2 linked regions of the Anolis sagrei genome follow. The protein of the gene in region 1 purifies or fractionates together with the protein of each later gene. This does not show direct contact. Links are inferred from orthologs where the notes say so. Each region holds a gene or a part of one and is shown in the gene's direction. Other genes may lie near its edges.

The links. The genes of interacting proteins can lie anywhere in the genome.
Region 2: the proteins of ADRM1 (region 1) and PSMA4 fractionate together in Homo sapiens (co-fractionation; 3 studies listed by BioGRID, with this or other methods). This does not show direct contact. The link is inferred for Anolis sagrei from reciprocal best matches to the Homo sapiens genes ADRM1 and PSMA4.

The regions. Positions count from the first base shown.
Region 1 is NC_090024.1:232,621,886-232,628,978, forward strand, and holds the start of ADRM1 (proteasomal ubiquitin receptor ADRM1), read left to right. Parts: upstream 1-3,998; 5' UTR 3,999-4,098; intron 4,099-6,901; 5' UTR 6,902-7,043; coding exon 7,044-7,051; intron 7,052-7,093. UniProt on the Homo sapiens protein: Component of the 26S proteasome, a multiprotein complex involved in the ATP-dependent degradation of ubiquitinated proteins.
Region 2 is NC_090029.1:11,848,159-11,855,254, reverse strand, and holds the start of PSMA4 (proteasome subunit alpha type-4), read left to right. Parts: upstream 1-4,000; 5' UTR 4,001-4,088; intron 4,089-7,096. Other genes in the region: HYKK (hydroxylysine kinase), read left to right, coding at 1,473-1,921. UniProt on the Homo sapiens protein: Component of the 20S core proteasome complex involved in the proteolytic degradation of most intracellular proteins. This complex plays numerous essential roles within the cell by associating with different regulatory particles.

The DNA.
Region 1 (7,093 bases):
TCACAGATAGATTCTCTCCATTTGATAGCTCTGTGAAGAGTCGAAAACACAATTACTGACTTTCCTTTTTTTTCATATAGTCAATGAGGTGAGACATTGTTGCTTCCAATGAAGGACTCTGCCTCCAAGATAAACGCAATCTATTAATGCCAAGCATCTAGGACAAGAAACAAAGGCTGTGGTGAAGCACATACTTCTTGCAAAGATTTATATGGCTATCTCTTGATGAGAATATTAAGAGTATTAGAAGTAGGGTGCACCTACACTGTAGAATTAATGCAGATTGACACCACTTGGGTTGCCAGGGCTCAATACTATGGAATCATGTAAACAAAACTGGAATGTACTTAGTCCTAATCTTTTTAAATACTGGTTTTCAACCACTTCATCGAATCATAGAATCATAGAGTTAGAAGAGACCTCATAGGCCATCCAGTCCAACCCCCCTGCCAAGAAGCAGGAAAATAGCATTCAAAGCACCCCTGACAGATGGCCATTCAGCCTCTGTTGAAAAGTCTCCAAAGAAGGATCCTCCACCATACTCCGGGGCAGAGAGTTCCACTGCTGAACGGCTCTCACAGTCAGGAAGTTCTTCCTCATGTTCAGGTGGAATCTCCTTTCCTGTAGTTTGAAGCCATTGTTCCATATCCTAGTCTCCATGGCATCAGGAGACAAGGTTGCTCCCTCCTCCCGATGACTTCCTCTCACATACTTATACATGGCTATCATGTCTCCTCTCAGCCTTCTCTTCTTCAGGCTACACATGCCCAACTCTTTAAGCCGCTCCTCATAGGGCAGTGGTTCTCAACCTGTGGGTCCTCAGGTGTTTTGGCCTACAACTCCCAGAAATCTCAGCTATTAGGATTTCTGGGATCTGAAGGCCAAAACATCTGGGGACCCACAAGTTGAGAACCACTGTTGTAGGGCTTGTTCTCAGACCCTTGTGTTGCAATAGCAGGTACTTCACACAGTCCTAGAAGCTTGGGAAATGTTTGACTTGTGTTTTTTTTTAATACAAAATCCAGCATATAGATCTCTTTTGCTGTGACATACTGGGTTTTTGTGTCATAATAATAATAATAATAATAATAATAATAATAATTCATTGGAACTTGTGCCACAAATACCTTCTGCCTGCAACAAAGAACTGGTGGGATCACTAGCCAGAAAAAGTTACAGAGAATGAACATGCCAAACTCTTCTGCGACTTCCAAATTCAGACAGACAGAGTTCTGGAGCACAACACTCCTGACCTCACAATCGTGTTAAAAAACAAAGTATGGATTGTCGATGTTACAATCCCAGGTGACAGCAGGATTGAAGAGAAACAACTGGAAAAGCTGACACGATATGAGGATTTAAAGATCAAACTGCAAAGACTGTGACACAAGCTAGTCAAGGTGGTCCCAGTGGTGATCGGTACACTGGGTGCAGTGCCTAAAGACCTTGGCCTGCACTTAAACACAATTGGCACTGACAAAATTACCATCTGCCAGCTGCAAAAGGCCACCTTACTGGGATCTGCACGCTTACTGGGATCTGCACGGCTCCGGTCCAGCGTACCTGTCTGACCGTATCTCTTCCTACGTCCCACCTTGGAGCTTAAGATCTTCTGGGGAGGCCCTGCTCTCGGCCCCGCCTTTGTATCAAACATGTTTGGCGGGGATGAGGGTCAGGGCCTTATCGGTGGTAGCCCCCCGCCTGTGGAATTTGCTTTCCGGGGAAATTAGGTCATCGTCATCCCTCTTTACCTTTAGAAAGAAGGTAAAAACGTGGTTGTGGGACCAGGCCTTTGGGCAATTAGGTTAAAGGACAATTGATAATGTTTGACTATGGCTTGGAAGTCAATTTAGATAAGTTAAGTGGAGTAATCATTAGTATATGGCTAGATAAATAGCCACCAGACTGGCAATAGCTAAATGGATCGTAAGTATACAGTTTAATCTTTATTAATGTTTATGTTTTAATTGTTATATTTGCTATTTTGTATTTTATGATGCGGCATTGAATTATTGCCAATTGGAAGCCGCCCTGAGTCCCCCTAGGGGTTGAGAAGGGAGGGGTAAAAATGTTTGAAATAAATAAAATAAATTATTCGCCGATACATCACACAGCGCTAGACACTTGGGAAGTGTCCGATGTGTGATCCAATTCAACAGCCAGCAGAGTGTCTGCTGTGGACTCATCTTGTGTTTCAAATAAATAATAATAATAATAGTAATAATAATAATAATAGTCCACGGTAGTCCACGCTCTGGTTACATCCCGCTTAGATTACTGCAACGCTCTCTACGTGGGGTTGCCCTTGAAGACGACCCGGAAGCTCCAATTGGTCCAACGTGCGGCAGCCATGTTACTAACAGGAGCGGAACGCAGGGAGCACACAACGCCCTTGTTGTACCAGCTCCACCGGCTGCCGATTTGCTACCGGGCTCAATTCAAGGTGCTGGCTTTGGCCTATAAAGCCCTAAACGGTTCCGGCCCAAGATACCTATCTGACCGCATCTCGGCCTACGAGCCCACAAGAACTTTGAGATCGTCCGGGGAGGCCGTGCTCTCGATCCCGCCTGCCTCACAGATGTGCCTGGTGGGGAGGAGAGACAGGGCCTTCTCGGTGGTGGCTCCTCGGCTGTGGACATCAGACTGGCTCCTTCCCTGATGATATTCCGCAGGAAATTAAAGACCTGGCTGTTCAAGAAGGCGTTCGAACAAGAAGTGCAATAATTGGTAATGACGACAGGAATGGAACAACGGAAAATGATACCGGATTGTAGTTTGGACGATGAGACGACGCGGAATGGTTTTTGTAGAAATGATGCTACTGTTTTTTGTATAATGTTGTGAATTGTTTTTTTTATCGTGCTTTGAATATTGTTGCTTTCATGTTTTACACCGCTGCGAGTCACCCTCGGGCTGAGAACAGCGGTCTATAAATAAAGTAAATAAATAAATTTACAGCCATGATTTTAACAGGAGCGGAGCGCAGGGAGCATACAACCCCCCTGTTGTGCCAACTCCACTGGCTACCGATCTGCTACCGGGTTGAATTCAAAGTGCTGACGTTGGCCTTTAAAGCCCTAAACGGTTCCGGCCCAAGCTACCTATCTGACCACATCTCTGCCTATGAACCCACCAGGACTTTGAGATCTTCCGGGGAGACCCTGCTCTCGATCCCGCCTGCTTCTCAAGCTCGGCTGGTGGGGACGAGAGATAGGGCTTTCTCAGTGGTGGCTCCTCGGCTGTGGAACGCCCTTCCTACGGACATTAGACTAGCACCATATCTAATAGTATTCCGCAAAAAGGTGAAGACCTGGATGTTTGTGCAGGCGTTTGAGTAATTTAGTGCAATCTGGTAATGGAACATAGGAATGGAACAATGGATGACGAACCTGGACTACGCTTGGATGATGAGAAGATTGGGTACGGTTGTTTTTTGTAATAATTGTGCATTGTAATTGCTTATTGGTAATTTAAGTTAAGTCAATTGTTATATGTTGTATGGAACCACTGCTGTTTCTACTGTTTTTACTGTTTGTGAACCGCTGTGAGTCGCCTTCGGGCTTGAGATACAGCGGTATATAAGCAAAGTAAATAAAATAAATAAATAAATAAATAATAGCCTGAATGCAATTTTATGCAACATTTTAAATAATGTGCATGAAACAAAGTTTGTATACACTGAACAATTAGCAAGCAAATGTCTCCTTCTTCCTGCCAGCCAAGTGGGCAATATTCTGCAAATAAAGGTGTATTATATTCAGCTGCAATTTCCCCTGGGCATGGGTGAAGTCATAACCAGGGTGATGACGCAATGCCCTTGCGATTCCCACGGCGGCCGCTAGAGGCCGCGCGCTCCTCCTTTTTCCCTCCTTGCCGGCGTGACACAGCACAATAGAGGCAGCGCGGTGCATGCCGGTCGCGCCTGGACAGCTCGGCCTCGCGCCGGGGCTTGAATGACAGGAGTGAAGGAGAGCTCGCCGACCAATCAGAGAGGAGGAGGACGGGAGGGGCGGGTTTCCGGTTTGGCCAGAGGGAAGCGGAAGGAAGGAGCGAGCGAGGCAGATTTTGGAAAGGGCTCTGAGGAGAGAGAAGCTGAAGGTAAGGCGGAGGAGAGGAAGGGAGGATGTCAGGATCGGGGAAGAAGGCGTGAGGGCCGCGTCAGGCCTTTCCCCATGCCTTCGTGCTTCTCCGCCACGATCTTCTCCCTCTCATCCCCCCTTTTCCCTCTTGTGGCCACTGAGCATGCGCAGTTCAGTCATCGGGCTTCTCTTTGTATTTAAAGGGCCAGTACAGACATTCGTGGCCAATATGGTTGCAGTCTTTTGGATGAAGGTTATATCTAGTTACTAGCCGTCCCCTGCCACGCGTTGCTGTGGCCCACATGGGGGTTCTGTGTGAGAGGTTTGGCCCAATTCTATCGTTGGTGGGTTTCAGAATGCTCTGTGATTGTAGGTGAACTATAAATCCCAGCAACTACAACTCCCAAATGTAAAGATTCTATTTCCCCCAAATTCCACCAGTGTTCACATCTGGGCATATTGAGTATTTGTGTAGACTTTGGCCCAGATCCATCATTGTTTGAGTCCACAGTGATCTCTGGATGTAGGTGAACTACAACTCCAAAACCAAAGGACACTGCCCACCAAACCCTTCCAGTATTTTCTGTTGGTCATGGGAGAACTGTGTGCCAAGTTTGGTTCAATTCCATCGTTGGTAGAGTTAAGAATGCTCTTTGATTGTGGGTGAACTATAAATCCCAGCAACTACAGCTCCCAAAAGACAAAATCATTTTTTTGAGTGAAGGACATGCATTGGGTTGTTAGGTGTCTTGTGTCTAAATTTGGTGTCAATTCGTCCAGTGGTTTTTGAGTTCTGTTAATCCTACAAACGAATGTTACATTTTAATTTATATAGATAGCTAGATTCTATATCTGTTTGTGTAAATATATGTATCCATGTTTGTGTGTGTATACAGCAGGCCTGGGCAAACTTGGGCCCTCCAGGTGTTTTGGACTCCCAACTCCCACAATTCCTAACGCTGTTAGGAATTGTGGGAGTTGGGAGTCCAAAACACCTGGAGGGCCCAAGTTTGCCCAGGCCTGTTCCACACTGTAGATACAAATCAAATTGTGTGAAACAAATAGTTGCAAACACAATGATAAACCATCCTATAAAACACATTTCAACAACATTAGTAAAGGGGAAATTTAAAAGGAGTTTTCATAAACCATTCCATATTTCACTGTTCCAACACATGATGGTGACTGAACTGAACTGTGTCAGGACAAAACTTTATACTCCCGCCTCTCGAATGAGACCACTAGCGCTTCGCTACGTCTTCAACTGACTGAATTGCACGCATTTTAAAAAAGGAAGTTATGCTGCCTCACCTTTTACATTAGTAAAGGGAAATTTAAAAACCGTTTCCATACACCATAAGGCCATGTATTCAGTCACTCATTTCACCATAGGCTTGGGAACATAGGGAGGTTTTCAGTCGTTTTCTGAAAGAGGGCAACAATGGGGTCATTCTGATGTCTTTCGGGAGAGAATTCTAGAAAGGTGTGGAAAGCATCTAATAATACCTTTGAGACTGGTTTCTATTACCTTGCGCTTTCATCACTTTCAAGACATTTCAGATGCTCTGTTGGAAGTACTCAGTTAAAGATTTAAATACCCATGACATTAATTTTGCACACCTATTAGTGCCTCTGAAGAAGTGATTGTAATCCATGAAAATTCAAGCTAAATCAGGCTCAAAGATGCTTCTAGATTCTACTCCTTTTTGTGTTTTTCTACACAGCTACAGGGTGAGGCAGCATAACTTTGTTTTTTGAAAACTTAATAAAACCCAGTGTATGAATCATAATTTTTTATTATTTTTTATAATGTAGGTGCATACTTAAAGTTTTGTTTTACGGGGTTTTGAAGATCAAATTAGGTAGGTGATGTCCCCCATTCTCCATATACTGAGTAAACCGATTTCTGGTGTTTGTCATGACTCTTGCCAGCATAGCAGGCATTATGTTGGCAATTTCTTCCTGGATGTTGATCTTCAAATCTTGTAGGTTCCTTGGACGGTTCACATAAACACAGGATTAAAAAAATGGAGAAAATTTCCTTTTTGGGAGTCTGCTGGAGCACTCATTCTCTCTAGAATAGTGGCATTCAGAGTTATGATCTTTTTCTAGGAGAGAAGGAAACAGTTACGGGCAGTGGTCACAAATATCATGCCAATCCCTCACACACTGAGTGGAAAACTCCCTGTTATCTCCCTACATCATATTGTGCAATGAGCATTGTTCTAAACCAGGCCTGCACAAGCTATGGCCCTCCAGGTGTTTGAGACTCCAACTCCCAGAAGCCTTAGACAGCATGTCCAATGAATTCTTGGAGCTGAAGTCCAAAACACCTGGAGGGTTAGCTATAGGTTGTGAGTAGCTGTTTTAGACTGAAAAGCTTTATTTTAATGTGGTAGGATTTTTTTAATATAAAGTAAACTTCTATTCTTGATAAAATGTTTCTGAAAATACATTTTTGGAGTCACAGTCTTCTAATATTTGGCAACGTTCCCACCCCTGATTCAAACACACCGATCTGAATTATGTTTTCCCTTTATGCATGAATTATCAAACATGAGCAAAACGTCTTTTTATAATGGAATTTACTCACTGTAGACTTTTGATTGACTTGCCATGAGTTCACTGAGAGAAAGAGAACAATATTGGGCTTATAAAGAGAAACAACTGGAGAAGTAATACTTTCCTGATGAATTTTCCACCTTCTGTTTTTTCTTCTGTTTTCTCTGCACAACTCTTGCATCACTCATTCTTACTCAAGAGATCATTTGATATGCCCCAGATCACTGGCATCATAAAAATGCTTTGTGTCATGGTCTTAGGTGACTGGAGAGCTCTTGGCTTTTGGAGTCAGAATATATTTGAGGGAGCTGTGCTGTAACCAGCAAAAATAGATGATATTTGAGACCATGGAGTAGCAGTAAGATGACAGATGAGGAAGCTGCTTTGGAAAACAAAGCCTGAATGCAAAGGTTTGCTGATTATATTTAGATTATGGACTTGCATTTTTCTTG
Region 2 (7,096 bases), on another chromosome or scaffold:
GTGTTTTGGACTTCAACTCCCACAATTCCTAACAGCCGGTAGGAATGTTAACACCGGGAAGGCTGAAGTTTGCCTGCACCTGGTGTAGATGCATCCAAAAATATATCCAAGCAATAATAATCTTAAGTACTTCAAATAAAATTGGAATAAAATCTATTTTAACTGCTATTTAACTAAATTTGCATTAATAAAACTGTTTTTGTAATACAGTAAAACGGTATTACATTAAGTACAGTTTGAAAATTATTGTTGATATTCTTGTTATTATTAAAATCCTCACTCAGTCATGAAAACCACTTGGGCTATTATTATTTTTGTTGTTGTTATTATTATTATTAAATTCCCACTCAGTCATGAAAACCACTTGGGATATGATGATGATTATTAAATTCCCACTCAGTAATGTCATGAAAACCACTTGGGCAATTATTATTATTATTATTATTATTATTATTATTATCATTATTATTAAATCCCCACTCAGTCATGAAAACCACTTGGGATAGGATGATGATGGTGATTATTATTATTATTATTAAATCCCCACTCAGTAATGTCATTAAAACCACTTGGGCTATTATTATTATTATTATTATTTTTAAATCCCCAGTCATGAAAACCACTTGGGATATGATGATGATGATGATTATTATTAAATCTCCACTCAGTAATGTCGTGAAAACCACTTGGGCAATTATATTATTATTATTATTATTATTATTATTATTAAATCCCCACTCAGTAATGTCATGAAAACCACTTGGGATATGATGATGATGATTATTATTATTAAATCCCCACTCAGTTATGAAAACCACTTGGGATATGATGATGATGATGATGATTATTATTATTACATTCTCAGTAATGTCATGAAAACCACTTGGGCAATTATTATTATTATTATTATTATTAAATCCCCAATCATGAAACCACTTGGGATATTATGATGATAATGATTAAGATTATTATGATTATGATTATTATTAAATCCCCACTCAGTAATGTCATTAAAACCACTTGGGCAATCATTATTGTTATTATTAGTATTAAATCCCCACTCAGTCATGAAAGTCAACTTGGGATATGATGATGATGATGATTATTAAATCCTCACTCAGTAATATCATGAAAACCACTTGGGCAATTATTATTATTATTATTATTATTATTATTATTATTATTAAATCCCCACTCAGTCATGAAAACCACTTGGGATATGATGATGATGATGATGATGATGATGATTATTATTATTATTATTAAATCCTCATGACCCCAAGTGGTCATGAAAACCACTTGGGCAATTATTATAGATAAATATAATAAATATAATAATATATTCCTATCAGTCACGAAAACCACTTGAGCACTTCATTGCAACTCTAAAGCAATCCCAAACCACCTTTATCGACCTCTACTTTTGCAAATCAATGAATTTTCTACCTGGGTTTTCCTTCTCGTTCCTTTAGGCATCAATCACGGTGACCTCAACGACCACAATATTTTAATAGAAGCCGATTCCTCTTCCCCTGGAAAGCCAAGATACAGAGTGTCGGGGATTTTGGACTTCTGCGACATGAGTTATGGCTATTTCGTCTTCGAAGTGGCCATCGCCATCATGTACATGATGATCGAAAGCCAGGATCCCATCCGCGTGGGAGGCCACGTCTTGGCCGGATTCGAGAGCGTGGTGCCTTTGACCCCGGAGGAACGGGCCGCCCTTTTCCTGCTGGTCAGCGGGAGATTCGTCCAGTCCCTTGTGATGGCGGCCCACACCAGTCTCCAGCACCCTGAGAATAAGGACTATTTGATGATCACGGCCAAGACGGGGTGGAAGCACCTGATGACTCTCTCTGAGATGGGCCAAGAGGCCGTTGAGAAGATCTGGTTTGAGACCGCAAAGGCTTACGATACCTGAATTGACTTTCACAAGCCTGTAGTTGCGGACCTGATTTGCAATAAATTTCCTGGGCATTCTTGGGATTGTAATCTATGGCCATGAATGAATGAAAACATCACACAGACCTAGAAACTTGGGAAGTGTTCGACGTGGGATCCAATACAAAAGCCAACAGTGTTCTTGTTTGCTGTGTACTAATCCTGTTGTGTAAATAATAAAGAATTATTATTATTATTATTATTATTATTGGGTTCTTGTAGGTTTTTTCGGGCTATATGGCCATGGTCTAGAGGCATTCTCTCCTGACGTTTCGCCTGCATCTATGGCAAGCATCCTCAGAGGTAGTGAGGTCTGTTGGAACTAGGAAAATGGGTTTATATATCTGTGGAATGACCAGGGTGGGACAAAGGACTCTTGTCTGCTGGAGCTAGGTGTGAATGTTTCAACTGATCACCTTGATTAGCATTTGATGGCCTGGCAGTGCCTGGAGCAAACTTTTGTTGAGAAGTGACATAACTACAAATTTTTAAACATAAAATTAATTAGAATTAAAATGTGTAAATATAAACATTGAAATGGTATTAAAACATAGGATTAGAAAGAGTGAAAATAAATTAAAATACACAAATACATGGAATCTATGAAACTATATAACTACAAATTATTAAACATAAAATTAATTAGAATTGACTCCATTAAGGATAAGAACACAGAAAAGCTTTTTTTTTTTTACTTCACCACTGCTGCAAGAATAGTGGTAGCTAGAATATGGAAATCCAAGGAGGCACCAACTGTGGAGCAATGGTTACTGAAAATATGGGATATTATGAATATGGACATCCTCACCCATAAAATCTCGCAGAGCATAGCAAAACCCCCTAGGACTAACTGGGAGGGCTTTCTGTATTGCATAAAAGGGCTATATAATGAGATATATATTAGTACTATACATTAATGAAACTTGAAGGTAAAGTAATAGGAAACTGGCGATTACACCATTACTAATATAGATAACAGAAAAGAAAAGGGGATTAAAGTATAGTTTACTCCCCGGTGCCTGACCAGCAAAACCTGGAAGTATTTTAAAATTTACTCGGGGAATAATTGTTGGTGTTGGTAAGTGTTGTTATTGATTAATCATTGTATTGTATTCAGTCGTATGTCTGTTTATTCGTTCGTATGTTTGTTTGTATTGTCTCTTTGCACTAATACATTTCTCTTCTATCAGCTCCTCTAAGAGCAATATCTTCTAAATAAACATATTCCAAAAAAATTTAATTAGAATTAAAATGTGTAAATATAAACATTGAAATGGTATTAAAATATAGGATTAAAAAGAGAGAAAATAATTTAAAATACACAAATACATAGATTATATGAAACTACATTACAAATATTAAGCATAAAATTAATTAAAATTAAAATGTGTAAATATAAACATTGAAATGGGATAAAAACACAGGATTAAAAAGAGTGAAAATAAATTAAAATACACAAATACATGGAATCTGAAACTACATAACTACAAATTATTAAGCACAAAATTTAAATGTCTAAATATAAACATTGAAATGGGATTAAAATATAGGATTAAAAAGAGAGAAAATAAATTAAAATATATAAATATATGGAATATTTGAAACTACATAACTACACATTATTAAGCATAAAATTAATTATAATTAAAATGTGCAAATATAAACATTGAAATGGGATTAAAACACAGGATTAAAAAGAGAGAAAATAAATTAAAATACATAAATACATGGAATCTATGAAACTACATAACTACAAATTATTAAGCATAAAATTAATTAAAATTAAAATGTGTAAATATAAATATTGAAATGGGATCAAAACACAAGATTAGAAAGAGTGAAAATAAATTAAAATACATGGAATCTATGAAACTGCAGAAATACATGGGATCCAGCCTACTGCAGCTTTGATTCCTTGCTGGCAAGATCTGATGCACTTTAGATGGGAAGGATGATCTCAAATGCCCACACTCATCATGGCGTTTCTGGCGACACGGAAGTCCGGTCTGAAGTAACGTAGCGGGCCAATGGGAACTTCCGAGGAACGAACGCTCTGTCCGAAGCCACGCCCCCTCTCTATAGTTAGCGCAGTGCGCTTGCGCGGGGAGTGGCGGCCATTTTGGATACCGGCTGAGGCGGAACTGAGGGTAAGTGTTACTTCTGAGGGAGGGAAAGGGGGCTTTTGGGGCCTAGTCGGCCTTTCTTGCGAGGCAGCCTGAGCCCGGGACCTTCGAGGATCTTCCGTGTCCCTGTTCGTGCCTCTTCAGCCCTTCTCTGTCTTCTCCGTCGGGCGAGGAGGATTCTTGGGGCGAGGATGACTCGGCAAGGCTGTCACTCTCTGGAAAAGGCCTGGGCCAAATGAGGCCTTATTTAGTTATTTCTCGTGTCAGGGCAACCAGTCAATTGTATTACATTTCTAACAGAACAAAACAAACAAACAGGCAGACAAAACACAAAGACAAAACCCTGACTTGGCCACGGTAGTCCACGCACTGGTTACATCCCGTATAGATTACTGCAACGCTCTCTACGTGGGGTTGCCTTTGAAGACGGCTCGGAAGCTACAAATGGTCCAACGATCGGCAGCCAGGATGCTAACAGGAGCGGCACTCAGGGAGCATACAACTCCTCTGTTGCGCCAGCTCCACTGGCTGCCAATTTGCTACCGGGCACAATTCAAAGTGCTGGCTTTAGCTTTTAAAGCCCTAAACGGTTCTGGCCCGACCTATCTGTCCGAACGCATCACCCCCTATGAACCAGTTAGGACATTAAGCACGGCTGACGGGGACGAGAGACAAGGCCTTCTCAGTGGTGGCCCCTTAGCTGTGGAACGCCCTTTCCGCAGACGTTAGATCGGCCCCCTCCCTGCTGGCGTTCAGGAGAAGAGTGAAGACCTGGCTCTTTGAACAGGCATTCAATTAAGTAGTGCAATCAATTGACTGAGTTTGGAACTTGGAATTTGGAACTTGGAATAATGGACGAGGAGATCGGATTATGACTTTACTGATGAGACGTGTTGGATTTGTTGTTGTTGTTCATTCGTTCAGTCGTCTCCGACTCTTCGTGACCTCATGGACCAGCCCACGCCAGAGCTCCCTGTTGGCCGTTACCACCCCCAGCTCCTTCAAGGTCAGTCCAGTCACTTCAAGGATGCCATCCATCCATCTTGCTCTTGGTCGGCCCCTCTTCCTTTTGTCTTCCACTTTCCCCAGCATCATTGTCTTCTCTAGGCTTTGCTGTCTCCTCATGATGTGGCCAAAGTACTTCAACTTTGTCTCTAGTATCCTTCCTTCCAGTGAGCAGTGAGTTGGATTAGTTATATGGATGTATTGATGTCATGTTGATTTACTGATGTGTCGTTGTATTGTTTTAGTTGCTTTAGTTATTGTTTAAATGTTAATGCTAATGCTTTGCACTTTGTATATTGACCTGTTGTAAACCGCACTGAGTCGCCTACGGGCTGAGATAGTGCGGTATACAAATAAAGTAAGTAAGTAAATAAATAAATAAAGTTTGCAAGCTTGGTAGTTGATTAGATGTTCTTTGACCAGTATCTGGCCACTTGGAGTGCCTCTGGTGTTGCCGCAAGAAGGTCCTCCATTGTGCATGTGGCAGGGCTCAGGGTGCATTGCAGCAGGTGGCCAGTGGTTCTGAGAGTGGTCCCGCATTTCCTTGTTCTCAAATAATATGCTGACACCTCCCAACAAAGGATTCCTTCAGGCAGGAGTCAGGCAGGCCTTGAAGCTACAAGGCTTGGCAATGCTAATCAAGGTGGCCAATTGCAACATTTACACTCCCTTCCAACAGACAAGAGTTCTTTCTCCCACTCTGGACATCATTCCACAGATATATAAACCCAATTTCCCTAGTTTCCAACAGACCTCACAACTTCTGAGGATGCCTGAAATAGATGGGGGTTATTTATTTACCGTGTCATCAGCAAACAGACAGTTGTATTACATTTTTAACAAAAACAAATAAACAAACAGACAAAACACAGAGTTTGCAAGCTTGGTAGTTGATTAAATGTCCTTTGACCAGTATCTGGCCACTTGGAGTGCCTCTGGTGTCGCCGCAAGGAGGTCCTCCATTGTGCATGTGGCTGGGCTCAGGTTGCATTGCAGCAGGTGGTCAGTGGTTTGCTCTTCTCCACACACGCGTGTCGTGGATTCCACTTTGTAGACCCATTTCTTGAGGTTGGCTCTGCATCTCGTGGTGCCAGAACGCAGTCTGTTCAGCGCCTTCCAACTCGCCCAGTCTTCTGTGTGCCCAGGAGGGAGTCTCTCAATGGGTATTAGCCATTGGGTTTGAGCCTGCCATTTTTGGACTCTCGCTTGCTGAGGTGTTCCAGCAAGTGTCTCTGTAGATCTAAGAAAACTATTTCTTGATTTAATTTGTTGACGTGCTGGCTGATACCCAAACAAGGGATGAGCTGGAGATGTCATTGACTTGGTCCTTTCACTATTGGCTGCTACTTCCCAGCGGATGTCAGGTGGTGCAATACCGGCTAAACAGTGTAGTTTCTCCAGTGGTGTAGGGCGCAGACACCCCGTGATAATGTGGCATGTCTCATTAAGAGCCACATCCACTGTTTTAGCGTGGTGAGATGTGTTCCACACTGGGCATGCATACTCCGCAGCAGAGTAGCACAGCGCAAGGGCAGATGCCTTCACTGTGTCTGGTTGTGATCCCCAGGTTATGCCAGTCAGCTTTCGTATTATATTATTTCTAGCACCCACTTTTTGCTTGATGTTTAAGCAGTGCTTCTTGTAGGTCAGAGCACGGTCCAGATTACTCCCAGGGATTTGGGTGTGTTGCAATGCTCCAGTGGGATTCCTTCCCAGGTAATCCTCAGAGCTCAGGATGCTTGTCCGTTCAAAGTGGTCTTTACAGAAGACATCTTCACATGCATCACACTTCAGAGGTAGAAAGTCCAATTGTTTACAAGTCTTCTCAGAGCAATGTTCACCCAGGTTTGGGAATTCAGTTACTAGGAAGTCGTCTCCTTCTCAACAAGACTGTCACCACCCATAGATGCAGGCGAAACATCAGGAGAGAATGCCTCTAGAACATGGCCATATAGCCCGAAAAAAACCTACAGCAACCAAATAATAAGCATTATAAGCTTCATTTGTATCTCGCCTCCTCTCCCCAA